4 linked regions of the Drosophila melanogaster genome follow. The gene in region 4 interacts genetically with the main gene of each other region. Each region holds a gene or a part of one and is shown on either strand. Other genes may lie near its edges.

Region 1 (6,742 bases), on a different chromosome or scaffold from region 4:
AAAAATTGAACACGCACCTATCTGGTGATAAATTTCCTCGTCGTTCACAAATCGCTTTCTGGGCGAAATGCGCATCTGATTTGAGCTGAGGCTGTATCGGAACTTTCTGTCAGAGCCACGGTTCGGTACCCGGTGGAAGTCAATTGCGAAGCAGCTTCCACGGCACTGTTGCTCCATCTCCAGCTGCATCTCGAAGCTGTTGTTGTTGGGCCGAAGTCCTGCGCAATGAAATATTGTTAAATACAATCTAGAAGATAGTATCGCAAATATATGCAGTGAATTTTGTATGTTATTTTGTATGATCGTTATCAAAAGTACATATAAGCTTTATATGGTCGGAAACGTTTACGTTTACCATACAAACTTTTCCACATATCTAATTTATGAGATAATTTGGAAATGCACTTACGCTCTGGTATAATTCCCAGATCTACACGCAGGAGATCCATAATGTCCTCTACATTGGGAGAGATGGGTGAGTAGTAAATGTAATCCAGCTCATTACCGGGAAAGTACAATTCTCTAAGAACCATCTAATAAATAAATTGAAGTCCAATGATAAGGATTAGTGTGGTCACAGGTTTGTTATCACATGCATACGTATGTACAAATATAAAAAGCAGATAAAGTAGCAGTGCGAGGGAAACTTACTTCATTCTTTGCTTCAAACTGGTTAATTTGGTGAAGCACGGGCTTGACGGACCAGTGGAGGTACGCGGTGAGTACTCCGGCAAATCCGGAGCAGATAAGGAGCAGGGGCAGCAAGTTGCGTTGCAAGTAGAGCAAATTCTTCCGCAGAAAGACGAAGAACAGCGGGGTAAAAGTCCCAGCCATTTTCTGTTTAACATCAACTTTTCCCTAATTTTACTTTGCTTTGTTGAATGGCATTTTTTCTCTATCAACGTCGATAGTAATACTTATCGAAATGGGAACCGCACCCGCTCCTGAGACTTGAGTCACTGTGGGAATGAATTCAATAACATTGGACTTGTAGTAAAAAACGGAGGAACGCTACAAATAATTATTGTTTACTGATAAGTGTACAGTCTACTCGTAGCCAAAGCCAATGGGGGTCATAAAATAATTTTAAAAAGTGTGTAAACTTGGAATTTGTTTTTTATTTTCTTGTATATTTCACATTTTTAATTTGTTTTTTTGATTTATAAGTAAAATAAATATTGTTTAATTATATTTCATAAAAAGTTGCATTTAATTAAGCAAAGAACTCTTAATTTGTACCTTTAAAGTAAGAAATTTAACTTATTCCACAGTGTGTAAACAGTATATGTATTGGCTAAGATTAATACCATGCAGTTTCGCCATTACGGGCCATTCTTCTAAACTTGTTATAGCCATTTTATTTTGGTTAATAACAATAATATATATTAAAATTTATTTATTATATTCAGTTGGAATAATTTCAATTTGTGATTAAATTTTGCAGCTTCATTTTATTTATCGTTTAATATATAGCGTAAAAATAGCCAGAGTAGGACCACAGTCTTCGATATATCGATAGGCAGTGCCCTGAAATCGAAGTCTGTTTATTATAAATTTTTTATCATAATGAGCGGCTCGCAATTATTCCCAGTGAATCTGAACAACCTGAGTGCCAAGGAGCGACACAACTATATACTTAGTAATTACGTGCTTAACCTACCGAATGAGACGGAATCACGTCGGCACAAGCGAGACATCGATGTAATCCGAGAGAATCACCGCTTCCTGTGGGAGGACGACGAGTTGGATAGCGACACCCTAAGCTGGGAGCAGCGCTTGGCCCTGCGATACTACAGGAAGCTATTTAAGGAGTACTGCATCGCGGACCTGTCCCGCTACAAGGAGAACAAGATAGCGCTGCGCTGGCGAACGGAGCAGGAGGTGGTCACCGGAACCGGGCAGTTCCAGTGCGGCAGCCGGCATTGCGGGGAGCGGGATAATCTGCGCAGCTGGGAGGTAAACTTTAGGTATATCGAAAAGGGTGAGCCCCTAAATGCGCTGGTCAAGGTGGGTTCCAAATGGGTTTCCGCGATTGTGTCACTAATGGGAATTCCATAGGTGCGGCTGTGTCCCACCCACACGGATCAGCTGAACTACCGCACCAAGAAGAGAGAATGCAAGAAGCGGAGACGCAGGGAAAAGGAGGAACGGCGCGCTGAAAAGAAACGTAAGCGTCGAAAACTCGATGTTGGTCACGAAAGTTCTGGCGAAGAGGAGGAGGAGCCTGTCGAACCAGCATCCGAATCCCATCCAGAAGCCAGCAAGGAGCCCACAGACTCAAAGGATGCCACCACGGCAGACGAACAGATCTGGCAACAACAACCCGATATAAGCCGAGAGCAAGCCTCCAGAGAGCAGGAATTCGAGCGATATCTAGAGGATCTCATTTTTTAAAATACATAGCACATTTATTTGGATTCAACGTAGACACTAGTGCTCTTTTTTATAGTTACTGGCCGCTAGATGCGTTCGCTTACGAACTACGATGTACATGTACACTCACATTTACAGGATTATTCACAAGAACTGCGTGTTAAAACCGACACCAAATCTAAAGTTGAACTGGACATTAAGGCTGTGACTCTGATTGATTTTTGGAAACATTTCCGAATGGCTACATTTCAGGCATGCACCTAGTTCAATCGCTATTTCTATATCCATCGAATGCAAATCGAAGGTTCGAAAATACAATACTATTTCACCTTACGTTTGTGGTCAAAACAAATTGTTGAAATCCAGCCACTGAAGAGTTTCTAAATATAAATCGCTCTAGAATAAATATCCCCGATTGTTTACACTCGACGAGTAGAGAAATCACGACTGAGCGCATCCGCTTGAACTAGGTGTAGAAAAGACTGTTCTAATTGTATATAGCATCATTGAACGGAGAGGGATGGCGGCCGGGATTACTGCTCTTTGGGCAGGAGCTCAGCGAAGGCGGCTGTGGGCTTGAAGGCCGTCACCTCGCTGAAGACCATCTCCCGCCACTTCTCCACCGGCAGCTCGTTCTCCTCGAAGCTCTGGTCGTAGAGCGCGGCGGTCTGCTCATCGGTTGGATCGTGGTACTTCTCCATGTACGGATGGGCCAGCGCCTGCTCGGCGGTTATGCGCTTGTCGGCGTCAAGTTCCAGCATCTTCTCCAGCAAATCGATGGCCAGCGGATTGGCACCGCGGAAGATGTCGCGGAAATTGCGGCGCGGCATCACCGGCAGTGAACGAATATAGTTTCTAGCGCTCTCCGAGGAGATGCGGCTCATGAACTCATCAGCTGGCGTGCCCAGCACTTCCATGATGAGGTTCAGCTGATGGATGTGATCGGTTCCAGGGAACAGCGTGCGCCCAGTCAGCAGCTCAGCCATGATGCAGCCCACCGACCAGATGTCCGCCGTCTGGTTGTAGTGCATCCAGTTGAGCATGATCTCAGGCGCCCGGTACCATCGCGTTGCGACGTATCCGGTCATCTCGCTTTCTGCGGGACGGGCCAAACCGAAATCCAGGATGCGAAGCTCACAGTCCTCGTTTACCGCAATGTTCGATGGCTTTAGATCACGATGGATGACCCCAGCGCTGTGGATGTACTTCAGACCGCGCAGGATTTGGTAGACCAGAAACTGGACATGATCATCAGACAGTTTCTGCGTGCGTATTATGTTGTTCAGATCGGCGTCCATCAAGTGGGTCACCATGTACACTTGCTGGAACTGATCCAGCGAATCGGCGGGCTGTCCTGGATGAAAGACATCCAGCAGACCAATAACGTTCTCGTGATCCATGTGCTTCAGCAGCCGCAGTTCCCGATAGGTGCGCTTCGCATGGACCGCCGACTGGAAGGGCCTGGCAAGCTTCTTGATGGCCACCTTCGTGCTGGTTCCGCGGACCACGGCCTTGCAGACCTGGCCGTAGGCACCCTGACCCACGGGTTGCAGGTTCTGGTATGTTTCCGGGATTTCCCACTCGGTGCGATTGATGTCCAGCTTGTAGAATTTGGCCATTTTGCGCGACATTTCGTTGGGATGTTCTGTACGCTCAGGTGCGGTGCTATAATGTTATTAATCCGCTGGCTCTTTTTTTGGGCAGTTCTTCTTCTTGCTTGTGGGATTAGTTATCTCTGTTCCACACTTCGCGGCCTCAACATTGCTGGAAATGAGTAATCGTACCGGGTATTACGGGAAAACGTAGCTAATTTCGGGTATTCCTGCCCAGATTCATTTGTATCTGCACAAATAAGTTGCAACTTACATCTCTCGGATTTTATTTATGCTATTCCGCTGCGCCTACACCTTTTCTGATTGGACAACAACGCTGTCTTGGCTATCGATAACCGCAAATGGGTCCGATTTCCAATCAGCTGCTGCTCGTTTATGCGTTAACATGGTTGGCTTTAGGGTGTCCCCTACAAAAATCAGAGTCCATCGAGGCAGCGGATCAATTCACAAAGCTTCTGCGCAGTTTGGTTGACAGAGTACATGATCGTCACAAACAATAATAATAATTAGATTTTTATATGCAATTTTGATTAAAGTTTTTAAGATTATATTACAATTTAAATACTTTCAATATTATTTGGAGAGTTCTATGTATGTATTCTTTATTATCACACCTTTGAGAATAAGAAATATTTAAATTAAAAATGCATTAATTAAAGCAAAAAATGAACTTATATGAAACCATAAACTCGTGAATAATGTGGTAATATCATCCACTTCAGTAAATACTTAGTTATACGTTAAAAATATAATTTTAAGGTAGAGTACTCCCTCGTCGACCATGGACATAAAGCTAATTTTAAAGCTTAACATGGGCCGGTAACAGAAGGCGGTCAGTTGGCGCAAGCTGGTTTAGTTTCAATCGGTCGCTCGTTGGCAGAACATCGAAGGTCCGGGTCGTGACGCTTTTCGCCCGAACGTTTTTTGCACGAGTTTTTTCCATACGTATTTGTTCATTGACAAAAACTCAAGCTGCGCTCTGTGCGTGCGTGTGTATGTGTGTGTGCGAGTGAGTGTGTGTGTGCTGGCGCGTCTGTGTGAGTGCGGTGCTTTGTGTGCAGAATAATTTTTGCAAACATTATGTAAATGCGCAAATTAAAGTTCAATCGACGCCCGTTTTGAGTACGAAACCAGATCGCCTTGCTTTAAGTGCCACGGAGCTACAGTTTCTTTTCGTACCCAATTTTTCAAAGATATACTCCCTCAGTAGGCAGGCACGCACACAAACATACACAGGATCTCAAACGATCCCCCGGATATACCTTTACCGTTAGGAAAATTCAAAATGGCCACGACAGCGGCCGCAATGGCCGCAACGAGTGTAGTTGTTCTGGATCGCGGAAACAATACAACCTGCACCATCAACTTGCACGGTGAGCAGAATGTCTTGAAACAATGATAAACAACAAATGAATAGCTGGCGAACAATTAATCATAATTAAGAAGACACCACCAGCACTTTGCCAAAATTTTGTTGGCGTTATTTTTAGCGGATGATTGGCGCTTAGACTCTTCCGAAACCGAAACCCGTTTCGCCCCCTATTCTCGATGTATTCGCGACCTCTGGAGGTTATCAATTCGTTCTGGAAATAACCTTGTTTTTACCTTTCGCTGTTCTACGCACCAGCCAGAGGGCCTTTGCTATCTTATCAGCCGAGATCGTCGCAATTTAGGCGCTATATGTACATATATGCCCCCACTCGATCCAATCGCTGGGGATCAGTTGGGTTTCGGTTTTGGAAAAGCTTAGAGCTTGGAGTTTGGATCTTGGAGATCGGATCGATGCGGCTCCTACTCGCAGCACATTTCGATTAGGCGTCATATATATGTATATGGTTCGTACATATATGTATACAGGTCCCTCTCTATGAGCACCTATGTACATATGTATGTATGTGAGCTGGCACTGGTGTACCCAGCGTACTTTCAACAATTACGACTGCCTGTGTCTGGGCTGCCCACGTTGCTTTCCAAGTCGCAGCCGTTTGAGCAACAGTCAGACGGCCAGAGACACAACAGCGTTTGGAACAGACAGCATATCGTACACCGGAAGAAATAACTACATATATATCTAATGGAAATTCTTGAGATCTTCATAGTTTCTTATCGGAAAGAGTTTCAGTGGCTAAGGCATTAAGGATTAAAGATCTTTACTAAATTCACTTGCAATGATTTTCTTAAAGATATTTATATGATCCCATGTATATGATTATTTTTCGTGTTCCACTTACTCTTCCTCTTCAATTAAATGGCCTGTGAAAAACTAAGATATATACTTAAACTGATGCATTGTTTTCCTTTCAGTGTATCTTATCACATGTAATTCGAACAATGTTAATTATTAGTTTTCGGAGGAGCTTTAACTAAACTCGACACCAAAGTGTTTCCAATCATAATAATCAAGGTGCCAGAGCAGTGGCTACGGCCTGTCGAAAGCCCATCGCACATTGGGGCCAACTGAGCGAGATTTTGGGGAATAGCAGCAGCTCCTCCCACGCAGCCAAGTGCTCACCCACCCATTGGCCGTAGGCCATCGTCATGCCCAGAGATCCATACCCGTAGCGTAACCAAAACCAACCCATATCCCAGTCTTTAACTGTACCAGAGATTCGGTCTCAGCCAGTTAGTTTACTTACAGGCCAGTTACTTACTCTGCGATTGTGTGCGTGCAAGTGTGCGCGTATGTGTGTGTGTTTGTATGTGTTAGCCATGTGGGTTAGAAGTGTGTGCGTCATGTACTTTGCTTTTTAGGTTGT
Region 2 (6,291 bases), 4.3 Mb from region 4:
TAATTGTATGTAAAACTTAACTTTTACTTATCGTTAGGCCTAAGAACAAACAACAAGAAACTAAACACCGATCGTTTTTTACGTGAAAAGGTCCTTAAACTGCTGTAGATCCTGCTGATGAACGGGTTTCTGACTAATAGAGCCCAAAAGTTTGCAGTCTTCCAAGCGCACGCCATGCTCAACAAGAGCTGCTATCAGTCGCGAGGTGTAGAGCACTGGTCCGCCCACCATGTGCAAGAAATCATAGTGCTTCTCCCGCCGCGTGCTAAAAAGGATTCGCTTAGAGACAAAGTCTCCGTAGTTGCTGATACGTCCCACACACACATAGCGCTGCAGTGAGGGGGCATAAACTTCGATGACTGCCCGGATACTCTCCGCCGGAGTTAGATCTGCTGCTGTTGCATAAGAAATCCTGAATGGTATGTCCAGTGCTTTGTAGAAATCAGTTGCCAGATTGAGAATATGCTCTAGTTGGGAGTCCGCTTCGTTGTCCGTTTGCGTTGCCACAAAGATTTGTACCGCATTCGTTTGTGTCGCCGTATAAAGACTAGGAATGGGCCCATACAAATCCGCTTCCGCTCTGTTGTAGCTCCGACCACAGCAGACATACCGAAGGGGCAGCACCGAGGGATACACGCACAGCTTGGTCATGGCACCAAGGTAGCTCTCGAAGGACGCACCTCCAGTCAAATAGGCGGTATTGATCTTGTTTTGCAGGTGCTCTTCCTGAACCAGATGATAGTCGGATAAGGGTGTCGCATTTGCTTCCAGGAGAACGCAACGCACAAAGTCCGGATTGGCGGTTTGAATGAAGTGCCCGTGGTTGACGAAATAGCGGGCCAGGGATTGCATGGCATTTACGTCAAAAAGAGCAGCCTGCTCCATCAAGTAGTAACGATTGTTGTCTACAAAATGTACAAGTTCCTGGCGTGCCAAGTGGGATGTAGTCTTATTTTCTGATTTGGGTATCCCATGACGATAGAGAAGCTTTTCCTCCCCTCCAACAGGGCACTGGACATGCAGAAGGTTGGGCAAGTGCAGATAGTCATGAATAAAGTCATCCTCTATGGGATAGAGAGTCTGCTTCAGAGCCTTTAGCTCATTGCGCAACGATTTCCCATGCTCTTTCAACTCCTCCAGCTGAACCGCACTACTACCAGATTTCGTTAGCTCCTTTAGGCGCTTGGTCACCCTTTCGCGTTCCTCCGCCACCTTGGACAGCTGAGCGTGATGTGTTTTATACTTCTCGTACTTGCTGAGCACAGTTTCCAAACGAATGTCCAATCCCCGGCTGGAGATGCTCTGCTCCAAAAATTGCCGCTCTCCAAAGGTTTTATTGAAGTCCATGTACGGCTGCAGAGTCACATAGTTTTCGTTCGCTTTATCGCCGGTTATGTACAGCGCGGAGATGTTTCTGCTACACGTTTTCTTTGCCGAAAGGCAGTGTTTTAATACACTTCGCAGGCTCAACATTATTTTTATTATCGAATGCAAAATAAAATAAGCCGGTAAGGCAAAATCAGCTGTCGCCAGCGCTGCCAGATCCGGAAGATTTAATAGGGGTATTTCAATGATTTCAATGTTTAAATTTATGAATATCCAGTTTTTAATTTAATTTTGTGAAAAATTTGTTCATTTAATTAATTTAAAATTTATTACTTCTGCTACATTAACTACGGCATTTTAAAAATGCAAATCAAGTTGGTCAGGTCTGAAGTTCCGAATCTCGTGGGAAACAAGTTCTTTCCAGCATTTTACAGGCAGTACCATGTTTTCGAAGTTCTGATCATAGACTGGTGCGGTGTCTTCGGCATGATGGTGTGGCTCAATAAGATCCCGAAGGTATGGATGGAGCATTGCTTCCGCAGCTGTGATACGTTTTTCGGGTACCATTTCGAGCATTTTTTCCATCAAATCGATGGCCTGGACATCGTAACCCATAAACAGGTGATGAAAATCGCACCTTTGTCGTAACGGGTACCCCTCCAGGTAATTACGCGAACGTTCCATGCTTATCCCGGTGATAAACTCCCTCGTCGGAGTACCCATTATGTTAATCAGACATCGTATTTGGCTTACATAGTTTTCACCGCGAAACAGGACACGATCCGTGATAAGTTCCGCCAGAATGCAACCAACCGACCACACGTCAATTGCCTTTGTGTATTGACCCCTTAAAAAGATAATTTCCGGAGCTAGATACCACATAGTTCCAACATGGTCCGTCATTTTGTCTGCGCACATACGGGATAAACCGAAGTCAAGTATGCGCACCTCGCTATTTCCATTAACTGCGATATTGCAGGGCTTTAAGTCTCGATGAACAACCCCGGCACTATGTATGTACTTCAGTCCCCGCAGTATTTGGTAAAGGATTATCCTAATCTCTTGATCGCTCATCCTTTTCGAACGCGAGTACCTGTGCAAATCCGCGTCCATCAGGTGAGTCACCAAATAAACCTGCTGAAATTCCATCATGTTGTGCGCTGGTGGATGGAAGACGTTCAGCAGGCTGATAACATTTCGATGATTCATGTGCTTCAGCAGACGGATCTCGCGATAGGTACCCTTAGCATCCTCCTCCCTCTCGAATGGGCGCATAAGCCTTTTCATAGCGAAGTAATTTTCAGTGCCTCGTAGTCTCACCTTAGCCACCTGGCCAAAGGAACCGCCACCCAGAAAACGAACGAACTCGTATATATCCGGGAACTCCCAAAGGCTTTCGTTAATTGCCACTCTCACGAACTCCGGCATTCTGGATTAAATGTGCAAAAATATGTCTTCTACGAAAGGAAACAGAAAGAAAACTGAGCTTGCATTTAGTCACCCGCTAAACTCTTATCTTTTCTCAACACCTTATCTATCAGTGCACATTCGACTGACAGAACACTAAACTTGTTCGATTCAGTCATCTGTATGACCGGAGATACACACATATGCTATAGACCCAAAGATCCTGCCCAAGAGGTGACAAAAATAAGGTTTTTAGTTGAATAACTTGATGTTTTTATAAAACAAATTTTTTGTTAAATAAGCAGTAAGCAGCAAAAAAACAAAATAAAAAGTTAACACTAAGAATTGATAAATTTGAGTACAAAAGACATGGTTGGAACATAAAGGCTATAACAAATAAATTGGCCTATGTAATACTTTAAATTCTTGATGGTTTGTGTTCACTTTACATCCTTTAGAACCTGAGCATACGATGGTGGGGGCTTAAAGTTGGTGACCTCCTTGTAGATCAATTCCTTCCATTTGTCTACGGGCAAATCCATATCCTCGAAGCTGTGATCGTATGGTGGTGAGGTCTGCTCGACGCTGGGCTCCGCATACTTCTCCAGATATGGATGGGAAAGAGCCTCCTCGGCTGTGATCCGCTTTTCGGCATCTAGCTCCAACATCTTTTCCAGCAAATCAATGGCCAGCGGATTGGCGTTCTTAAAAACATTTTTAAAACTTCGTCCCTTCATAGGCGGAAGTGACTGGATGTAGGAACGTGCACTTTCCGATGAGATCTTCTTCAAAAATTCGGCGGGTGGCGTGCCCAACATCTCCATAATCAGGTTTAGCTGGTGAATATGGTCGGTGCCTGGGAAGAGGGTTCGTCTGGTAATTAGTTCGGCCATGATGCAGCCCACCGACCAGATGTCCACTGTTTGGTCGTAGTGCATCCAATTGAGCATTATTTCAGGTGCCCGGTACCAACGCGTGGCCACATAGCCTGTCATCTCGTTCTCCGTTGGGCGGGCCAGCCCGAAGTCTAGAATGCGCAGCTCGCAATCCTCGTTGACGGCAATGTTTGAGGGCTTAAGATCACGGTGGATCACTCCGGCGCTGTGGATATACTTCAAGCCACGGAGTATCTGGTAGACTAAAAACTGGACGTGGTCGTCGGACAAGTGCTGCATCCGTATGATGTTGTTCAGATCTGCGTCCATCAAGTGGGTAACCAAGTACACCTGTTGGAAGTTCTCCAGCGATCCATTAGCGGGATGTGGATGGAATATGTCCAGCAGACCGATTACGTTCTCATGATCCATATGCTTTAAAAGTCGAAGCTCCCGGTACGTCCTCTTTGCATGGACAGCTGATTGAAAAGGCCTGGCAAGCTTTTTAATGGCCACATGCATATTGGTGCCACGAACAACTGCCTTTGACACCTGTCCGTAAGCTCCCGATCCCACGGGCTGCAGATCCTGGTATATATCCGGGATCTCCCATTCCGTTCGATTTATATCCAACTTGTAAAACTTTTTTGTAATGGACACTGACATGGTATTGCTTGAGGAAGGGCGTCGTCACCTTAGTTAATGGTGCCTATAAGCGAGATATGTATTGATTCTTAAAATGCCATGCGAACGATAATTCCATGCTGATTACGTTTATCTTGAGGCAGCTCTGCGTCAGTAGTACTTACCTCTGTTCCACGCCCAAGAATATCAACAACTAAGTACTGGTCCCTGGCATTTTTCCTATATTTGCGCTATTACTCCATTCCGATGCGTGTTAGGCATTCATGAATCAGATCGTCAGTGGATCAGATCGATCAGAAGCGACACACGAATGCGCTACATTTGATCAGAGTAAAGTTGTTAAAATCATTTTTGGCACGATATTAAAAAAAATCCTTAATATATAAGTAAATAAATAAAATAATATATTAACCATATCATTGCATTGTAACAAGTCTCTTTTTCCACTCTTATCGATGTCCTTAAATGTGAATAAAGGGATTAAAATTAAATAATTTTGTTAGTTTTTAATAATATTCTAAAAATTAGGTAATATAATATATTTTTAAAGCCCATATACCGTAAAATTTGGAGTGTAGAGCGTTTAAATGAAAATAAACACACGGCGTTGCCAGACCGTCAGCTGACAGTTCAATAAGAATTTATCGAATAAGTATTTGAATCAGCTGTCTCTTGTTTTTCCTGCAAATTTGAGCAGCACCATCCCCTGACCCATTTTTTGTTGCACTTTTGGTGTACTTTGAATGAAAAATAGTCAGAGACACTACTCGCGCCTGCGCAGTTTCAACGCCGGGGTTATCAAATAAGCTAATCTAATCGTTCCGTAAACGCAGCCTGACATTCCGCCCTACCATTCTCCGACGAACAGTTAGTTTCGCACGCAAGCCGCTCCCGCTCGCATCGTAACCTAGAAAACTTTAGCGTATGTACATAAGTAAATTGACGAGTTTATCTGAATGATACTGAATATATTAGCGGTATAAAAGATAAACATTACATGGTTTAACGAGTGTTCGCTTGAAAGCCTAAATGTTAGACCGCAGGGGAGCTGGAAGAAGCCACTTCAACCGCTGTGAACTGCGACCTTTGGAACCTGGACTGGCAAACATGCAGATTTTCTGTAGTCCACTATCTCAGATAGCGGGAACATTGTTAACATCGATGGCATGTTCAGCACAAGTAAAAGATCTGCGAACCGAATGCGATTAGATAGTCCGGGGGGTTCAAAGTATGGTTTGAAGGGTTGCTATAACTTCAACCCCTGAACCGTTTTTCTTTTAATATTTTCGAGGAAAACTTCACACTCCCCAAAGGCGTGTATAATTTTTGGTAGATAACCCACAGTTCGTTATCTTCCATTATAGCTCATCATAAAATGCAAAACTATCATGTTTCTTTCTCTTTGCAGACACAAAATGACTTCAAAGCTACTGCCCGGAAACATTGTGTACGGAGGTCCTGTGACTGAACGACAGGCCCAGGATAGCAGATCCTTGGGTCAGTACATCCTCGACAAGTACAAGAGCTTTGGCGACCGGACGGTGCTGGTGGATGCCGTCAATGGAGTGGAGTACTCTGCCAGTTTCATGCACAAGTCCATTGTACGGCTGGCATACATCCTTCAAAAACTGGGAGTCAAACAGAATGACGTCGTTGGTTTGTCTAGCGAAAACAGCGTCAACTTCGCCCTGGCCATGTTCGCTGGTCTAGCAGTTGGGGCTACGGTTGCTCCCCTTAACGTAACATATTCCGATCGTGAGGTGGACCACGCCATTAACTTGTCCAAGCCAAAGATCATATTCGCCTCTAAGATTACCATTGATCGTGTTGCCAAAGTGGCCAGCAAGAATAAGTTCGTCAAGGGCATCATTGCGCTCAGTGGAACTTCCAAGAAATTTAAGAACATCTATGATCTTAAGGAGCTGATGGAGGACGAGAAGTTCAAGACACAGCCTGACTTCACGAGCCCTGCGGCCAATAAGGACGAGGACGTGTCTCTTATTGTGTGCTCTTCTGGAACCACCGGACTTCCTAAAGG
Region 3 (8,755 bases), on a different chromosome or scaffold from region 4:
TCTAACCTAAAAACTGATGAAATTTCCAAGTCCAGTCGGCTTTCATTTACATATATAGTTTATAGAACAGTAACTAAATACATTACGTTTGTTTTATTCAAAGGATAATGGCTGCTCAGTTCTTTAATCGCATTGGCCAAATGGGCCTCGGAGTGGCCGTTTTGGGTGGCGTTGTCAATTCGGCATTATATAATGTGGAAGGCGGCCACCGGGCGGTCATCTTCGATCGCTTCACCGGCATCAAGGAGAACGTGGTCGGCGAGGGTACCCACTTCTTCATCCCATGGGTGCAGCGGCCCATCATCTTCGACATCCGGTCCCAGCCCCGCAACGTTCCTGTGATAACGGGCAGCAAGGATCTGCAGAATGTCAACATCACGCTCCGAATCCTGTACCGCCCCATTCCAGACCAGCTGCCCAAGATCTACACCATTCTCGGCCAGGACTACGACGAGCGTGTCCTGCCCTCCATCGCGCCTGAGGTGCTGAAGGCTGTGGTCGCCCAGTTCGACGCCGGCGAGCTGATCACCCAGCGTGAGGTGAGTAAAAACATCAGGAGAGCCCTCAGTTTCTTTAGGATAAAGCTTTTTTGATGGGCCTTGTGTTTCACCAGAGGCGCTTATGTTTACTTAGTATCAGGTCATCAGATCTCATCGTATTTCACGCGTATTTTATTTTCGATTTAAATTTGATTGTGTAAGCAAGAACGCGATCTCGGCGCTTAAGTCTAGGCTTATTGCTCTTTTGAGAATTGAAGCTTAAGAATTGGATTATTATTCAACTTATGCAGTCGGAAATATAATACTTTCATGCCCGTACTTAACGTGATTACCTCTTTGCAGATGGTGTCGCAGCGCGTTTCCCAGGAACTGACTGTACGTGCCAAGCAGTTCGGCTTTATTCTGGATGACATCTCGCTCACGCACTTGACCTTCGGTCGGGAGTTCACGCTGGCCGTCGAGATGAAGCAGGTGGCCCAGCAGGAGGCGGAGAAGGCGCGTTTTGTCGTGGAGAAGGCCGAGCAACAGAAGCTGGCGTCCATCATTTCGGCGGAGGGTGATGCCGAAGCCGCTGGCCTGTTGGCCAAGTCATTCGGCGAGGCCGGAGACGGTCTGGTGGAGCTGCGACGTATTGAGGCCGCCGAGGATATCGCCTACCAGCTATCCCGGTCCCGTGGTGTCGCCTACTTGCCCAGCGGACAGAGCACGCTGCTCAATCTGCCATCGACCATCGCGCAGTAGCTGGGTGCATCTAGTTCCGTTAAGTTGTAACTACCTATAGCATTTACTAAGTACTTTTCGATTTTGTTTCTGCTGAAATATGCACTACTCTAAAGCGTTCGCGCCCGACTGACTGGAGAATACTAAGCGAAACAACCAAAATTTGTCTCATGTAATCGGTTTTTCCATTATCTTCCCGATCGGGTTCGAAATCCGGTCGCAGTGTGCGCTCCGAATGCGGCTCAACTTTTGTTGTTTCCGTTTGAGTCGTTCGTGTGCGCGTCCTGCTGAATTGGTCCTTAAGATCGGCACCGGGCTTAAAACAACTCCAGTAATTGAAAGAAACACAGACCGTAAGAAAATTTCATTATGTGAACAAACAATAAATGATAATCCCTACATGAGTGGGCTTTTAAATTGAGTGTGGTTATGGTTATGCAGGAAATGTTATTTAATTTATGAACTTTTACTTTCTTTTTACTTTACTTTTACTTTCCCAATTAATTACAGATCGATCCTAAAACGAATCTAATCACTTGCCCATATCATATAGATTTAGACAAAATACGTGACCTATTGAAGCTCAGCGATGTGATGTGTACACCAAACACCCGCTCGCTTATCTCGGCCCTTGTTTACCCCATATGATGCCTGTTTATGCAATCCCCCTCTCAAAGGCGCCATTCGACCCCTATAAGCGGAGAATACTTTCGCATTCATTCGCAACTCAAGATGGTCATAAATCAAATTGTAGTATTCTTCGCCTCAATCGACCCGAACTCCAGCCACCCGTAAAGCAGCATAATGTGGGTGGGTAGTTGGGCGACTGGTGGCTGGTGGCTGTTGGCTGGCGTGTGGGTGGAGCACCCAGCGCATTAAAATCGAAAGCAGAGCCGTTGGCATGGCGTATAAATCTGTTGATTCAGCCAAGTGATTTGCCAAAGTGGCTTCGTTGAAATGTCAGGCACACGCACTTTGCTCGCACTCAGCAACAGTTGGACCACCCGCAGGATTCTCAGCAGCCCTACACTGAAAGAAATTATTTTCTTTTGTCGTAGGCTAAAAGTGTTTACTTGATTCTTTTAAATAGTAATTAAAGGAAGATAATGATTTTCCTGTCGTATTCCAATATCATTAGCCGAGCCGATATACCCATGTTTGTCTGTCCGTATAAACTTCGAGATTTTGGGAACTTTAAAAAAAAAAAACGGTCACGAAAACAGTTTTGAAAAATATTTTGAATTTTTGTATTATATCTCTCGATATATTTGGCATAAACATTTAAGCCACATATTTATTGTTTCTTGCCAATTTCTATTGATATTTCAACTGAATTTTGAAATTCCGGCCAAGTAACTGGCATCCAAAAGTCGTTAGCTTTCTATAGTAATTTTGAATTTTTCTCAGTGTATGCGGAACTGCCCGCTCAAAAGGCTCAACCTAGCCCACTTCCCCTAGCACAATGCGAAAGTGAGTGAGAGCATTGGATTATTTGACGTCACAATTCCATGAGCGGTTCAAAAAGCACGTCATATGTGGTGCTCTAATAACCGGTTTCCAAGATGCGCGTAAAGCGTGCCATTCCACGGCTTAATCAATTTCTTGTCTTTCCTACGAATATAACTTTGTTTACATTTTTTTGCGTGATTTTTTCTTCGGGGAGTCCAAGAAAAACCCTGTTTCGAGTGACTCATAATTGGGGGATTCCTGACGAGATCGCTCTCTTTCCACAAATTCGAGTTGGGAAGCACGTGAGTAGAATTCAAAATGTTTTGCTTGCTGTTTTAAATATCACTAGGTTCTCAAACTAATTTCAAAAATAATCAAATTAAGTTCACAGAGCTGGCAAATAAAATGTAATAGCTTGCATGTATGTATATATATATATTTTTTTAAATTCTAAATAAATCCATGGAAAATAAAGCCTTTGATATCCAGTTACTGATTCAGCGCCCAATTAATGCATGTTCCAAAAAAGTGTCAAAAAACGTGCACAAATCAAACGAGAGCTGAATTTGTTTTTACGACAGCGGCTGCGATTCGAAGTTCAGCGGCTGCGGACTGCGATTGAACCGGTCCTGCGGAATTGGCAGCGCTGCTGGACGGGCTTTAAAAGCCATGGCCAAGAGCGGGCAGCGCTCAGTTAAGAGGAGAACGCCAAGCGCACAGCAATCAGCACCGAAATATCAGCATCGAAATATCAGCAAATAAATATTAGCTGTTCTAAACCAGGAGGGCAAACTGAACTTGGAGCAAAGATTTAGTTCGGAACGGAAGTAAAGCTCGGCAACAAGTGCAAACAATTAAAAGCAGTTAACTAAAGTGCAACGGTGAGAGACGAAAGTGTGGCTCCTCAACAGCCTCAGCTGCCTGAAGTGCTTGGCCAACATAATGAGTGCATGTGCATGCGAAAGATTCATTTCGGGGCTAACGCTGCGTATACGTAATGTGTATCTAAAACTGGGCATATACTATAGCCTTGCTTCGGTTCAATTTGATAGTTCGGGCCCCGAATTCTATAGTGCTTAAGCTTTTCTCGGCTTTCGGTATCTGCATGCTTTTGTGTATCTATTAAAATAAGATTTTAGCTGGCAACAAGTCGTCGTCTCAATGCCAACTTGTTTACGTTGTTAAAATTGGAATTTAGAAAAAAAAAAAAAATAAAGCAGTCTTGATTAATGCAAGAATGCATTAAACATTCTAATTACCATACTAATTCACAGCCTATACTTAAGCAGCGCACTCGATGGGAAAACGCTTTAAACTATTAATACCTTAATACCTTATTATTATAACTATTATCATCATCGTTTTGCCTATCAAGTAATTAGTATTCAATGTCGTTCATTTGTCGTGTTTGCAGCGATAGCATTTTTTGTTTGAGCTGCTGCACTGATTAGCACTATCTTCAAAAACGCACTTCTATTAATAACACTTTCAATAATCGCACATTCTTTCATATTAGCTCTAACCATTCGAGTTCATATCATTGCAAAAGTCAAACGAAAAGTAAATCTCTGAAATGAGCCACATACCCATTAGTAACACAATTCCAACAAAACAAACTGATGGTAATGGTAAAGCTAACATTTCGCCGGATAAGCTGGATCCCAAGGTTTCGGTATGTCTATTGGGTTTAGGTATAGAGCCAACAATTATGCACGTCTGATAACCAAATACTTTTGCATCCACATCAAGATCGACATGGAGGCGCCGGAGTTCAAGGATTTTGCCAAGACAATGGTCGACTTTATAGCCGAATATCTGGAGAATATACGCGAAAGGTGAGCCAGATTAAGACTCCCTACTCAATTAGCTTGAATTAAACTTAATTTAGCGTATGAATTTCATTTATATGGTATCAGAATCAGTCGCTTGACCTCAGCATTTTACGTTCGAATCGAAAGTTCGTTCTGCTCGATTCGAATCCCCGGGCAAGTGAATGACATTTCGCACACGTTTTGAGATTAGTCACGGGAAAGTCGCACCGATCGGACATTTCCATTGCTATATATATCTATATATATATATCATTTTGTTTAGGGGGTTGAGGCGACCTTCCCATTAGCTCGAGGGCCAAGTACTTTCGCTGCTCTTGGGCCGAAAACTAATTAATTAAATGGCTTTGTTGAGTTGGCGTGTCAAGGTCGTTTTTCATGTATACGAGTATAGATATAATTGCACTGCTAACGCCTTGGCCAAAAGCAATTCGGGTATTTCACTATTCTTGGGCAATTCTTCTAACGGCTTCGTTTCCATTACCTTGAAAATCAAAGTCAGCTAAGTAAACAATTTTCTTACTACAGCTGCTGAGTTTGTTTGCCCATCGACAGTCGCTGAAATTAATGGTTAATTGAAAATCAAGCTTAAGTAGAGCGTAATATAATAATTCATTTTGCTTTATTAAAGTTCCTTCGACATTGAAGTTTCAAAACTATTTTCTTAGTTAGATAACTTTTTAAACGAATCTTTGTTAATTGAAGATACATATATATAGAGAAATTATCTTTTTATTTTCTTTTTTCACCTCTTAGTAGTACTTCCTTTTAATTGAAAGGATAGAAAATCCCACCATCATTATCAGCATTGCCTCTCTATCTATATTCTGTTCCCATAGCAATTTGCTACATATTCGTATTGATTTTCATGGCAGTGGCAACAAGTTGGGGGTGGTTGGATGGGTGTCCTTCAACCCCAATGATTCCTGATGCCTTTGTTGGCTAACTGAGTTTCGCAGCCAATTAGCAAGGAGCTTTTACTGAATGGGCGCCAAAATGCAATCAGAAGCTAACGCAATTTTCGCAATTACAGGCGCGTTCTGCCGGAAGTGAAGCCTGGCTACCTGAAGCCATTGATTCCGGATGCTGCGCCCGAGAAGCCGGAGAAGTGGCAGGATGTGATGCAGGACATCGAGCGAGTCATCATGCCGGGCGTGACACACTGGCACAGTCCCAAGTTTCATGCCTACTTCCCCACGGCCAACTCGTATCCAGCGATCGTTGCGGACATGCTGAGTGGAGCGATTGCCTGCATCGGATTCACGTGGATCGCCAGTCCCGCGTGCACGGAACTCGAGGTGGTCATGATGGATTGGCTGGGCAAGATGCTGGAGCTGCCGGCAGAGTTCCTGGCCTGTTCGGGCGGCAAGGGTGGCGGTGTCATCCAGGGCACGGCCAGTGAGTCCACACTGGTGGCTCTGCTGGGAGCCAAGGCCAAGAAGTTGAAGGAGGTGAAGGAGCTCCATCCGGAGTGGGATGAGCACACCATCTTGGGCAAGTTGGTGGGCTACTGCTCGGACCAGGCTCACTCATCCGTGGAGCGGGCTGGTCTTCTGGGCGGAGTAAAGCTCCGTTCCGTGCAGTCCGAGAATCACAGAATGCGTGGTGCTGCCCTGGAAAAGGCCATCGAACAGGATGTGGCCGAGGGTTTGATTCCCTTCTACGCGGTGGTCACCCTGGGCACCACCAACTCCTGCGCCTTCGACTACTTGGATGAGTGTGGACCGGTGGGAAACAAGCACAATTTGTGGATCCATGTGGACGCTGCCTATGCCGGATCCGCTTTCATTTGCCCCGAGTATCGCCACCTGATGAAGGGCATCGAATCAGCAGACTCTTTCAATTTCAATCCACACAAATGGATGCTGGTGAACTTTGACTGCTCGGCCATGTGGCTGAAGGATCCCAGTTGGGTGGTCAACGCGTTCAATGTGGACCCTCTTTACCTGAAGCACGACATGCAGGGATCAGCTCCGGACTATCGTCACTGGCAAATCCCACTTGGACGGCGATTCAGGGCACTGAAGCTCTGGTTCGTCCTCCGGCTGTACGGTGTCGAGAATCTCCAGGCCCACATCCGCAGACACTGCAACTTTGCCAAGCAGTTCGGGGATCTCTGCGTGGCGGACTCCAGATTTGAACTGGCCGCCGAGATCAATATGGGATTGGTCTGCTTCCGGCTGAAGGGCAGCAACGAGCGGAACGAAGCTCTTCTCAAGCGAATCAATGGACGCGGCCACATCCACTTGGTTCCCGCCAAGATCAAGGATGTCTACTTCCTGCGCATGGCCATTTGCTCGCGATTCACCCAGTCCGAGGACATGGAGTACTCGTGGAAGGAGGTCAGCGCCGCTGCCGACGAGATGGAACAGGAGCAGTAAAGTGGTTGTGCAGGTCTGTTCCGTGTTTAGTATATAAATTAATATAGTAAACTTAAATTGGACCAGTATGATATATAATGCATTGTGACTTGGAACCCGGAACAGACCATACACTTTCCACTTGCGACATGTTTAGGGAATTTACATCGCAACAAAAGATGGTTCGTCCATCGCTACATTATATTTATAGTATCCTATCATTGTATCATTGATGTTGTTCATGATTTTTATTGTTAACGTTATGCGCCTAATTAAAACAAATGTATTCTGCTTAAAAATACAAACGAATTGTAACTATAAATTTTGACTAGTTTTCGTGTTGATATACACTGTACAATTTAGCAGCCCATTCGGATTTCCCATTGCACTTAACCGCAGTGCACGCTTTTCAGATAGTAGTCAATAATGCGTTGGGCTTCTCGGATGCCACTGGACCTGGCGGCATCAATGGTTCCAAAGCCTCTCAACGAGGTTGCATCCCCAGCAAAGAGCAGACCGGGCGACTTCTCGCCCAGCGGAGCGGCCAGTCGCTGGACATCCCGGGCACTGCTGTTGGTGGAGAAGTAAGGACGACCGCCGAGGTAGCAGGCCGACGTACTCCAGTTGGAACGCAGCAGTTCCTGTGGGTACGGCACCAGGTGACTGCTCACGCAGCGCCTTAGCAGACCAGTTATCTGCTCCAGCAGCTCCTCATCGGGCAGCTTCTCGATCTCCTCGTAGTATCCGCCACCCACATGCACCTCCAGCACATGCTGACTGCTGGGCACCTGGCTGATCTCCACGACCTGCTGCGTCCAGTTGCGTTCGGGTTGCTGCTCCACGGAAGGATTCAGAAGCGTTCCCAGTGGCCGCAGGCTTCCCTTTAGCCAACGCCCAATGGGCTTCTTGTAGGAGAGATATATCTTGAGGGGATTGCCAAAGCCGAGGTTGCGTATAGCCAGCATCTTGTCCAGCGGCAGCGTGGGTCGAAACAGAACGCCCGCAAAGCTTTTGAGCACGCCCAGCGGCAGGGTGCATATTATGTGATCGGCGTTGTAAAGACTGCCATCCAGGCAACCCACACTTTTCATCGGCGCTGGTGTCCACTGTATCTGGCCCACAGGCTTTCCGGTCTGCAGCTGCGCTTTGTCCATGTTCTGAATGAGATCGTCCACTACATTATCTAGACCAGTGGGCACATACAGCGGGCGCTGTTCCTGCTGCACTGGACACTTGGTTATGTGTTCGATGTTCACGTACTCCAGGCAGCATCCCAATATGCTGCCGAACTCCTTGAACAGCGATTGGAAGATCTCGCGTGCCGCCAGTTGATCCTTAGGATGCTGGAAGGAGACGCCAATGATGCGATCGCTTTCTGTTCTAAAGTAGTTCATGACATTGTCCAGCGAGTGCAGGTCACCACCCGTTTTAACTCGTTCGGAGACCTTGAAGCCTCGGCAAAGCTGCCGAAATAGCGTGTCGATAAGCTCGACCATGGCTGGATTGATGCGGCTTCCATCCTGAAGATAGGTGGCCCGATCCGGCTGCTTTATCTGCTTCCCCAAGCCTTCCGTGTTGCGTAGCAGTTCATACATCGAATCCTGCGATCCATCGATCTTTACCCACTTGGCGCCTAGTTCACAGTAGGTGTCACCAAAGCGCTGGGTGTTAATCCTGCCGCCATAACGATCTGTGGCCTCCAGGATCACAGTGCGCCGAAAGCCGTGCGACAAGAGGTGCTGGGCCGCCGAGAGACCGGCGAGTCCTGCGCCCACGACCACTATCTGGGTATTTTGGCGCGCCGCCTCCAGATCTGGACTGCGTTGCTTGTCGCCGATGTTATCCGCCTGTAGAACCCGTGCATTGTATAAGCTGCGCCTGCTGGCCAGTTTAAAAC
Region 4 (10,627 bases):
TCCACACGCGTCACTTTTTAGAAATGGGAAAATCCTAGAGGCGAAGACTCACGGTACTTTTACACCTGACGGATCTGGCGGCAGCTTCTCGTTAAAACTTAATGGGCTCGCCGTGAATGAACGGCCCTTTATATAGGCGCCTGGATGAACACCCACGCACACCAGTGCACGCGGCATTATCGAGAGATCGCCAAAGAGAGAGAGAGAGAGTGAGCGAGCGTTATCACATCTCACCTCTTTTGTTTATATTTACACTGGGAGCACTTGCACTTTGTTTTTACCTGTCTTTCGTGGGCGCAGCGGGGGCGGTGGATGCCGAAAAGGAACAACGAAAAACTCCAAAAAGTGGGGGCAAATCAATAGGACAACAAACGGGACTCCTACTGTGGTGCTCTTTTCCTTCTCAGTGCTGATGAATGTGAACGTGTCCTTCCCCTCCCGCAGGACACACGGAAATAATTGTGCGCTGTGTTAAATGTCGTGTGCTGATTTTACAAAGTTGTGCAGTGAAAAACATAAAAACGTTAAACAAGTTCCAGTGCGTGCGCGTCGAATCTGCGCAGAGATGAAAAGCGGGCTGTCAAAACCAGAATGGAAAACTGCCAGATGTACAGTGGCGCGCAAAAGTATTCGCACTCGCACGCGATTGTGCCTGCCGTCATTGGTGACTATTGAAACTATTCTGTTTCAATACTCTCTCCATGGAAGCTTGAAATTATTATTATTATTATTATATTATAAAAATTGGTATAAGCCATTTTTAACGGTAAAAATTGGTAGTGTTGTGCAGCATCAAAACTTCGACAAAATTCCAAAGATACTCACTCACACATAACATTAATAATACTCAAAATTTTCAAATTTCAAAATCAATATTCTTTATTCGTAGTAACAACGAATAAACAATCTTTTCATAGCTTTTCAATTCTTTACATTTAAAATATTTCTTAATTCAAGAATTTTGGCTTATCAAGAGTCAAAAACTTTTATACAGTTCATTAATATCTAAAGTTTGGTTATTGCATTGATTGTAATTTAACAATTCGTTGGCTTTCGATGTAATTAAAAGTACCAAAGAGTCGAGAAATTAACAAATCTATGCATTGTCCAGCGCGATGAAGTAGGAAATATCCTCCGGACTGTCTTCGGTGGTCAGGTACACGATCTCCTCGTAAACGTTTTCTTCGGCAGTTGTATATTCTATCATTTCAAAGCCGGGATCTATTTGAACCACCTCGTCGATCTCCACTAGATTGATCTCTTCCAGTCCGTTTTGCTTATCTATATCCTGTATATCCTCCACAACATCTGGCTCTTCCATAACATCCATATCAAGCTCCTCCACAAAATTTCTCTCCTCTCTGTGATCAATCTCCTCCAGCTCATTTTCCGCTTCCAAGTATTCTACTGGCTCAAGAGCTTCAGTTTCCTCCAGACCATCAAGGTCAGCTTGAATCTTGGCCAGATGCCTTGCCGATCGCATGTGCCGAACGAAGCAGAATCTCCTGGCCGTTCTGTATTCGCAGGGCTTGCACTCCAGGGTGCACCTGCACTCCTTCTTGTAGGCGAGGTATTCGTCCTCGGTCTCCCCAGACTCCCCAGATAGCTCCACCATCTGTTCCTGCTCCTGGGGCAGATACTGTATGTATTCATTAGCCTCCAGCTGGCTTTGCACGACCTCGATGTTCGCCTGGCTTTTTGCTTGCATCTCGAATTGAGATTTTCGAGTGGTGCTGTAGTCACACGGCGTGCACGTGGTCAGGATGTCTTCCGTGTATCGTGTTTTCTCCGCATCCGCGGGCGCTGGCTCCTCTACTCTTTTTATGCGTTTTACCGCCGGTTCCGCCCTCTCGGCCTCGTCCATCAGCTTCTCGCACTCCTCCTGCTCCTTCATTATGTGGCGCCTCGACTCCTTGTGCCGGTCGAAGCAATACCGTTTGGCGGTCTTGTAGCCGCAGACGTTGCACGAGAACAGTGACGATTCCACCTCAGACTCGGAGTCAGAGCAGGACTCCAGCAGCATGTGCTTTTGCGACCGCCTGTGGCGCCTCAAGTCTCTTCTCCGGTCCGTGGAGTAAGTGCAGCCGTTTATGTTGCAAGTCAGTCGCTTTATCTTCACCGCCTTGACTTGCTCCTCCTTTCTGGGCGCTTGTTTTAGGTGCAAGTCTGTAAAAAGCGAAATCAATCGTAGTTCAGCCGGCATTTAGGTATTCATTGGTACTCACATTCCATTTCGTCCTCGTAGATGAAATCTAGAGCCTCTATCGTCAGTGTTTCCGTTCTCTGGCATGTCTGCGACATATTTCCCTCGTTTGGTCTGCGTTCTTTTAATAATAACTAAACAAATCAACAATTATTTGATGGTACCAACATTATTTAGCTTGAAAATGTAGAATGCACGCGAGAATTTACGAATTTGGGAATTTAGTATTTTTCAGGCGGCATGTTGGATCTTATTTCCGTGCACCTTAGGAATTATGTTTATTTCATTTTAAAAGTACCCATCAGTGTTTTCGTATGAGTGAAAAGTTAGTAATTTTTAATTTTAATTTTAAATTAGTAACAAGACGACTTGTTAAATTCGGGACAAGAGTCACCCTGTGATGAACCACTTGTTACATGCAGATGCAGCCGGTGACCTCCTCTGGTCACACTGTCCATTTTTAATTTTTTGTAATAGTAGAGTTTTTTTTATAACATTTTATCCGTCTTTTATGCAATATATTTAATTATTATTAGTAAGAGGCAATCCCACACAAACATGCAATCAGTACTCACCCGCTCGTTATGCATTGGTAAGACAAACTGATGTGTGGACTTTGAGCCCCAGCCATTTAAATGTTTTCTATAAGCAAGATCCTAAACCAGATATTGATATTCAGCCCGCAGATCTTTAAATGCTCGTCAAATTGCCTCATTGTCGGCGCTTTCGGAGACGCACCAGATGCTGCAGAAGTCCTGCCGGGACTTTGCCAACAATGAGCTCAGTGGAAACGCAGCCAAGTTCGATCGGGAGCACCTGTATCCAGAGAAACAGATCCGCCAGATGGGCGAACTGGGCGTGATGGCAGTAGCGATTCCCGAGGAGCTGGGTAATTAATATTACGCCCACCTCAGCCCTCCTTATAGTATCTCATTGTATCTCTTTATTGTTAATCAGGCGGCACTGGACTGGATTATGTGGCCTACGCCATTGCCATGGAGGAAATCTCAAGGGGCTGTGCCTCTGCTGGCGTCATCATGTCGGTGAACAACTCCCTGTATCTGGGACCGCTTCTCTCTTTCGGAAACGATGCCCAGAAGAAGGACTACATCACACCGTTTACCACCGGCGAACGAGTGGGCTGCTTCGCGCTCTCTGAACCTGGAAACGGATCCGATGCTGGAGCTGCTTCCACCATAGCAACCGACAAGGGAGATCACTTCGTGCTGAATGGCACCAAGGCCTGGATCACAAATGCCTTCGAGGCGGAGGCAGCCATTGTGTTCGCCACCACCAACAAGCAGCTGAAGCACAAGGGCATCTCCGCATTCATTGTGCCCAAGGCTACCAAGGGCTTCTCGCTGGGCAAAAAGGAGGATAAGCTGGGCATCCGGGGATCTTCGACGTGCCAGCTAATTTTCGAGGACTGCGTGGTGCCCAAGGAGAACATGCTGGGCGAGCCGGGTTTCGGTTTCAAGATTGCCATGCAGACGCTGGACGCCGGCCGCATAGGAATCGCTGGCCAGGCGCTGGGCATTGGTCAGGCTGCCCTCGAATTGGCCGTGGACTACGCCCAGAAGCGACAGGCCTTCGGCAAGCCCATTGCCAAGCTCCAGTCCATCCAGCAAAAGATCGCGGACATGTCGTTGGCCATGGAGTCGGCACGTCTGCTCACCTGGCGCGCCGCCTGGCTGAAGGACCAAAAGCAGCCCTACACCAAAGAAGCTGCAATGGCCAAGCTGGCTGCCTCGGAGGCGGCCACCTTGTGCTCCCACCAGTGTATCCAGATCCTGGGCGGAATGGGCTACGTGACCGACATGGCGGCCGAGCGTCATTACAGGGACGCCCGCATCACTGAGATCTACGAGGGCACCTCCGAAATCCAGCGACTGGTGATCGCGGGCTCCATTCTAAAGGAATATGCTAGTTAAGATCAAAGTTATATATCCGTACTACTTGTGTCTCGTTTAATAAAGAACGTTTTTAATATACTATTTTGCTAGTTCTATTGAGTTGTATAATTGTTTATAATAGATAGAAATACATGAAAAAAACACCTACAACATTTTAATTCTTTAGAAAAAGTTAGCAAAACAATAAATCTTCGTTCAAAAAGTAAAGTAAAATAAGTGAAACTCTTGACTACTTTTTAGACGTTGCATATTTGTAAATTAATTAAAATAATGAACCTTAAGTGCTTTTAAAATATATTTATAAACAAAGCTTATTATTTTATATGCCTAATTATATTATATCTTTTAAACCAAATTTTAAATGACTCAAAAAAATGGGAACTTGGCGCCAAAACTGCAGCAAGGCTTTGTCGGTTAGCATATTTGTGTGGTATTTTTGTGACTTCATTCGGTATATTGCTGGTAGCTGTGCAGCGGTCACACAGCAAAAGCAAAAAGTTTCTTTATTTATTTGATAATTATTCGTTACGCGGTAATTAACGCGATGCAAGTGCAGCAGGAACGTGGTAATGAGAGTTTTTGCCACTGAGCTGCGCGTGTCGGCCGTCCAGAAAGTGCAGAAATCGCGTGAAGTGCGCGAAATCCGTCCAAGAGCAGAAAAGTGCCAAGAATAGCTGCGATGGAAACAGCGATGGATGTGGTGTGTGTAATGGATACGGCGGTGGGCGACCATCTGGAGGACCGCCAGTGTGCGCTGGAGGAGATCAAGCAGGCAGTGCAGTCGGCGGGCGCCAACTTTCAGCGGGTTCAGGTGCGCCAGCTTGGTTATACAATGGCATATGGGTGATTTGACTTACATCCCCCCCACTTGGCATCCTTGCAGTTCGAGCGCCTGGACTTCGGCGAGACGAATGTGCTGGAGACGTTTTACAACGCCGATGTGGCCATTATCGACCTGAGCATTCTCACCCAGCAGCGGCCGCTTTCCTATCACTACGGCGTTAGGGAGAGCTTCGGGATGAAGGAGAACATCCTCACCTACAACGACATCGATTCCAAGCAGACGCTCAGTCTCAAGGTGCGTTCGGAAGTGTTTACCTGGCCGGGCGTGCCTGGCAAACATCTGCGTTCGTGATCGGGAATCCGCTTCCGATAAGATAAATGCTATGACCAGCAACTGCGTGGACTCCTGGACTAGTTGTTCTTGCTGATCTTTCTACAGTCGAGCTTCCACAACGCGAACTGAGTTTATAACAAGTCTCTAACCTAGGTGCTTAGACACCTCTTTCTGGAAAATGACTAAAAATTATTCTATCTACTAGTCTTCCTTTAGCAAATTGCAAAAGAAACCGAAAAACTTCCTCTTTCCAGAGGTTAATAACTAAAACCTCTTTCCCATATGGCAGCCAATAATTTGAACTATGGAAGTTCGACTGTATTTCCGTCGAATCGTTTTCGTTATTTTTGTTTTGGCTGCGGCCATAAAGCAACAAAAGCATTGGCCCAGCAATAACAATAACAAATGCGAGCACGCCCACGCAAACACTCAAAGAGGCACGCACACACTAACAGCACGGTGTACACCAACGCAGCGTGGCCTGCATTCACAGTGGCGGTCATTAAATTAGGTACACTCTACTCCCCTTGCAGCTCTCGTGTGCCAACTACCTGTTTCTCAGCTACAAGCGGAATGCGGAGACCAATTCCTGCCACCTGACCAGCCAGCCCAACAGCGGCAACAACAGCAAGGAACCCAATGCCGAAGGACGAGTGCCCACTTTGCAGTGGCGCCTCAAGCGAAAGCTGCAAGATGTTGAGATCCAGTCGAAGTGAGTACAATCTAGGGAGTCCCCTTTTGCAGTAAGTCATGCACGGTGATTGCATATCGGAACACTATTTATAACATCCCCTGCGGCAGATTGGCTGCAAAAGTCACGCCCTGCATCTAAAATGAATCAGACCGATTTATTGTGTTGGCCTTGGAATTGCATATAAAATATCAATAATCGCTGAAAATTCTTAAGTCTCTTTATAGTATCATAATTGTCCTTTCAATTTAAATTACTTCGAACTTTAGTGATACTACTACGGGTTAACAAGTAATGAAATGAAAGTAATTGAAATCTTAAATTTGGTGTACCAGATAGATGCTAAGTTAATTAGTCTTTCAGCCAGAGCACGAAACACTGTTCCTATTATGCATTATTTGTGTACCTAAAAACTAAACGAAGCTATTTTCGGTTATTTACAGAGCCCACATGCGTGAGAAATTTCTGAGTGACATGCGAACGGCGCGGGACACGTACGCCACCAACGGCGCCAAGCTGCAGAGTATATTGCACGAGATGCGAAAGCGGCTGGACGATCCGCATGTCCTGTCTGGCGAAGTGGTACACAGTTTCATGTGCTCGCTGAGGGATGTGCAGGACTACGATGCCATGGTGCGACTGGTCAATGACCTGAAGAACATACCCAACACCCGGAAGTACGTGGAGACGGGCAACATGAGTTTCCTGTACGCCTTCGCCCTGAACCGAAGAAATCGAAAGGGAGACCGTGAAAAGGCTCTGGAATCTTCGCTGAAGGCGCTGGAAAAGAAGGAGAACCACTTTCCGGACATGCTCTGCCTGTGCGGCCGCATCTACAAGGACATCTTTGTGGAATCCGACTACACGGACGCCACCAGTTTGGCGCACGCCATCAAGTGGTACCGCCAAAGCTTTGAGGTGCAGCCGAATGAGTATGCAGGCATCAATCTGGCTACTCTGCTGGTTATCGAGGGCAAGGAGTTTACCAATACGGAGGAGTTGCAGCACATCGGCATGACCTTAAACAATTTAATCGGTAAAAAGGGCAGCCTATCCTCGCTGAGTGAGTATTGGGATGTGGCCACCTTCTTTGAGATCTCCGTTTTGGCCAACGACTACGCCAAGGCGATTCAAGCTGCCGAGTGCATGTTCAAGCTAAAGCCACCCAACTGGTATCTGAAGTCGACCATCGGAAATATCTCTCTTATACATCGATTTCGAAAGAAGCCCGAGGAACGCCAGCCGCCCATCGAGGAGCAGGTGTTCCAGTTCTGGATGGACTTCTTTCTGGAGGCCACCAACACCGAGGAGGTTAAGAACAGCATTCGCTTTCCGATTCTGGTTGGTACCCCTGATCTGCAGTTTAAGCTTTATTATTAACTCAAAACAAATTCCAGATCCTCGAGCCTCAGAAGATTTATATGCCCAGTTATGTGACTATAAACATGGATGCGGATGAGAAGTCCATTCAGATTGTGAACATCTGTTTGGCTCACGCAAAGAATGCGTGTAAGAAAATCCACGACTTCCTTTTCGTGGCATCGAAGATCAAGTCCGTCAGCCTTTACAAGAGGGATGATCGTTGTGCCTACTTGTACGTCCATCACAACTCAGATGATTTTCAAATATATTTTCCCTCCACTGAACGACGACAAAAGTTCTACGATATGATCCTGGAGATGACTGCAGATCAGGTGGTGTTTGTCAATCTCAGCAATGATGACGCTAATATCGAGGTAAGTTATTTATTATTCATATATACATATATTCCGGCCACTTTTGCTAATTATTATTAATTGTAGTACGAGTACGACTACGATGAGCAGAATCGCAAAATGGTGCTGGGCAAAGGTACTTATGGCACCGTGTACGCCGCCAGGGACAAGCAGACGCAGGTGCGAATCGCCATTAAGGAGGTGCCGGAAAAGAACTCGCAGGATGTGCAGCCACTGCACGAGGAGATTAAGTTACACTCTCAGCTGCGACATCGCAACATAGTTCGCTATTTGGGATCGTGCTCGGAGAACGGCTTCTTCAAGATCTTCATGGAGCAGGTGCCGGGAGGATCGCTTTCCGACCTCTTAGAGACCAAATGGGGTCCGCTCAAGGACAACGAGTCCACCATGGCCTTCTACTCCAAGCAGATCCTCGAGGGGCTGAAGTACCTTCACGAGCAGGACATTGTTCATCGCGATATAAAGGGTGACAACGTGCTGGTTAACACGTATAGCGGCGTGGTTAAGATCTCCGATTTCGGCACCTCCAAGCGGCTGGCCCGCATCAACCCGATGACGGAGACCTTTACGGGCACCTTGCAGTACATGGCGCCGGAGGTGATTGACCAGGGAGTACGCGGCTATGGCCCGGCGGCTGACATCTGGTCCTTTGGATGCACAAACGTTGAGATGGCTACGGGCAAACCACCGTTTATCGAGCTGGGTAGCGCCCATGCGGCCATGTTCAAGGTGGGCTTTTACAAGAAGCATCCGAACATACCCGAGGAGCTGTCCGCCAACGCAAAGAACTTTATTTTGCGTTGCTTTGCCATCAGCGTGATGGACCGACCCTCCGCCTCGCAACTTCTGGAAGATCCCTTCCTACAAGAGTGAGTTTGCTTAATTGTTTTGCCTAATTCCTTTCTAATTGCACTTTTAATTTTCTCAATAAGTAAACCCCGCAAGGTGCGCCCAGCCCTGCCCATCAATACTGAGTTCGGACGCAGCATTTCGGTGCCGGCTGATCGGTTTGTGCACAAAACCACACCGCCGCTGAGCTACAACACAACCTGCAATACGCCCACAACGCCGGAATTGGAGTAAGTTAAACGCTGCGACTATTCTTATCATGTTCGACCTTCCTCAATTACAAGCAGAGGTTATCTTATCTGTTGAAAATTATCATTTATATTTTGCTAATTTTAATGAATATAAAAATTTTTCCGTGCTTCTCTATATTTTCCCATATCGTCTACTATTATAAGAGTAACAAGTGCCTTTGCTTATCGTGTAGTTAACACATTGATTGTTGCTATCAGTAAAGTGCATATTTAATGATTGGAAAATGCGCACTCGGATTTTGATACTGAGAAGAGATAGCACTTGATGTATTGTAAAATAAACGTAATTTTATATTGTACTTTCTGTTTCCTATTTCAGCATAACGCATTCATCCTCGGTGGACATTGACGAGCTGCCCAGCAACCAGTTTATGCTTGAACGGCGAAATTCCCATGGATTTTTGCTCTCGCCAGAGATTGAACCTTCCACGCCGTCCTTGCGTACGAGCATTAGTGAGACGAGCGAGACTGACGGTTTTTACAGGCTTAAAAAGGATTCGCAGAGGCGGACAACGCTTTCCAAGGTGCTGGCACTAGACGAATCCAAGATCTGCGATATTTGGCTGAAGAAGGTCGACGCTGATCAGAACTCGATTGCGATTAGGAAAAGCGATTTGGAGGTTCTAATCCGAGGACTGCGGGACTACATTATGAACGAAAACGAAAAGCATTTGGAAGCGACTATCAACGAACTGAAACAAAAGCTGAACAACGACGCAGTTGCTCTGGACCATCTTCATTTGGCGCTGTACTCCTTTCAGGACGCCGTGGTCTGCGTACTGCGGTACCATTGCATCAAACCCCATTGGATGTTCGCATTGGATAATCTGGTTAAGCGGGCCGTCCAGGCGGCGGTCACTATTTTCTCTCCTGAACTGGGCGCCAATCTGGCGGACAAAGACCTGTCTGGAAATGATGATGAGAGCTTGCGTACAAGTCTAATGCAGAAGGGTTCCACCGAGAGCCAGGAAAAGCAGAGCCTGGAAAAAGTTCTTCCCACGAGCAACACTCGCGAAGGTGTGGGATTAACGCCTGCGGAATCGGGCGGGGATGCTCTGTCCAGTTCGATGGAGTGCGCGCGCATCCTGAGAGACATCCGTGACAATCAGCAGAAGCTGCAACGCCAGCTCCTTGAGCAGCAGCGGCAGAGCATGAGGGCCCTGCATAATATCAGTCAGGAGCTGGCTCACATTTACATGGGCGGCAGAAAGAGATTAAGGTTGGTAAACCAAGTAGGACATTGTAAATTTTATTATAATTCACAATTTCATCTTAACAGACGCACAATAAACGGCTTTAACAAAAAGTGCCATAGAATGAGTACCAGTGTGGGCGGAACGTCCGGAGTCCGTCCGAATATAGCGGGCAATCCCCGGAGGCAGCTAAACAAGCATCACTTTGGTCTTCACGAAGTAGACGAGCAGTTGGAGCAGTGGTTGACCCAGCAGGAAATAGACGAGTTCTCAAAGACGCTCATCCTGAATGAAGGTTTTACATTTGACGACTTTATCTATAACATGGAAAAGCTGGACCTCATGAGGCTGGGTCTGCGGTGCGTTAAAGCTTATAAGAAAAGTACACTTAATCCATGCTCAACTAACTTTTGGTATTTTGCAGCGTTGGCATCGAAGTGCGTTTGTGGAAACTCATTATACAAGAACGTGTGTGCACCTCGTCCGATTGTGTGGACAGTCCACCAAGCACTTACCACAAACCCATTGGAGGCAATAGCTCTTTTGCGCTTATTGACAACAACAATACGCTACCATCACCCACAACCACAACTCCCGGAACGCCGGGCATCAAAACGAAAATCAAGAAAAGCGAAAGCGAGTACGATTCGTGCAGCGAGTGACTGGAGTTGAAA

What was found.
Region 1: of Ask1 (region 4) and p38b, changing one suppresses a phenotype caused by changing the other (phenotypic suppression), as found in Drosophila melanogaster (one study listed by BioGRID).
Region 2: of Ask1 (region 4) and p38c, changing one suppresses a phenotype caused by changing the other (phenotypic suppression), as found in Drosophila melanogaster (one study listed by BioGRID).
Region 3: of Ask1 (region 4) and Ddc, changing one suppresses a phenotype caused by changing the other (phenotypic suppression), as found in Drosophila melanogaster (one study listed by BioGRID).

Annotation. Positions count from the first base shown.
Region 1 is NT_033779.5:13,778,262-13,785,003, reverse strand, and holds p38b (p38b MAP kinase), read right to left. Parts: upstream 4,316-6,742; 5' UTR 4,240-4,315; intron 4,138-4,239; 5' UTR 4,005-4,137; coding exon 2,907-4,004; 3' UTR 2,395-2,906; downstream 1-2,394. Other genes in the region: Eato (engulfment ABC transporter in the ovary), read right to left, coding at 18-218, 410-533, 652-834; CG16890 (uncharacterized protein), read left to right, coding at 1,567-2,007, 2,059-2,394; CG9008 (uncharacterized protein), read left to right, coding at 5,272-5,359.
Region 2 is NT_033777.3:24,147,429-24,153,719, forward strand, and holds p38c (p38c MAP kinase), read right to left. Parts: upstream 2,776-6,291; 5' UTR 2,755-2,775; coding exon 1,684-2,754; 3' UTR 1,592-1,683; downstream 1-1,591. Other genes in the region: Slimp (Seryl-tRNA synthetase-like insect mitochondrial protein), read right to left, coding at 79-1,473; p38a MAP kinase, read right to left, coding at 3,174-4,274; CG6178 (uncharacterized protein), read left to right, coding at 5,669-6,291. UniProt on the Drosophila melanogaster protein: Kinase involved in a signal transduction pathway.
Region 3 is NT_033779.5:19,114,905-19,123,659, reverse strand, and holds Ddc (dopa decarboxylase), read left to right. Parts: upstream 1-3,353; 5' UTR 3,354-3,550; exon of another isoform or gene 3,551-4,185; 5' UTR 4,186-4,242; coding exon 4,243-4,341; exon of another isoform or gene 4,342-4,418; coding exon 4,419-4,504; intron 4,505-5,531; coding exon 5,532-6,879; 3' UTR 6,880-7,177; downstream 7,178-8,755. Other genes in the region: Phb1 (prohibitin 1), read left to right, coding at 108-539, 843-1,241; CG10561 (uncharacterized protein), read right to left, coding at 7,248-8,754.
Region 4 is NT_033777.3:19,875,117-19,885,743, forward strand, and holds the start of Ask1 (apoptotic signal-regulating kinase 1), read left to right. Parts: upstream 1-4,602; 5' UTR 4,603-4,807; coding exon 4,808-4,927; intron 4,928-4,999; coding exon 5,000-5,194; exon of another isoform or gene 5,195-5,766; coding exon 5,767-5,945; intron 5,946-6,367; coding exon 6,368-7,265; intron 7,266-7,321; coding exon 7,322-7,660; intron 7,661-7,726; coding exon 7,727-8,529; intron 8,530-8,592; coding exon 8,593-8,739; intron 8,740-9,079; coding exon 9,080-9,979; intron 9,980-10,039; coding exon 10,040-10,312; intron 10,313-10,377; coding exon 10,378-10,615; 3' UTR 10,616-10,627. Other genes in the region: CG17186 (uncharacterized protein), read right to left, coding at 1,097-2,166, 2,226-2,301; Arc42 (Activator-recruited cofactor subunit 42), read left to right, coding at 2,762-2,795, 2,883-3,092, 3,161-4,134.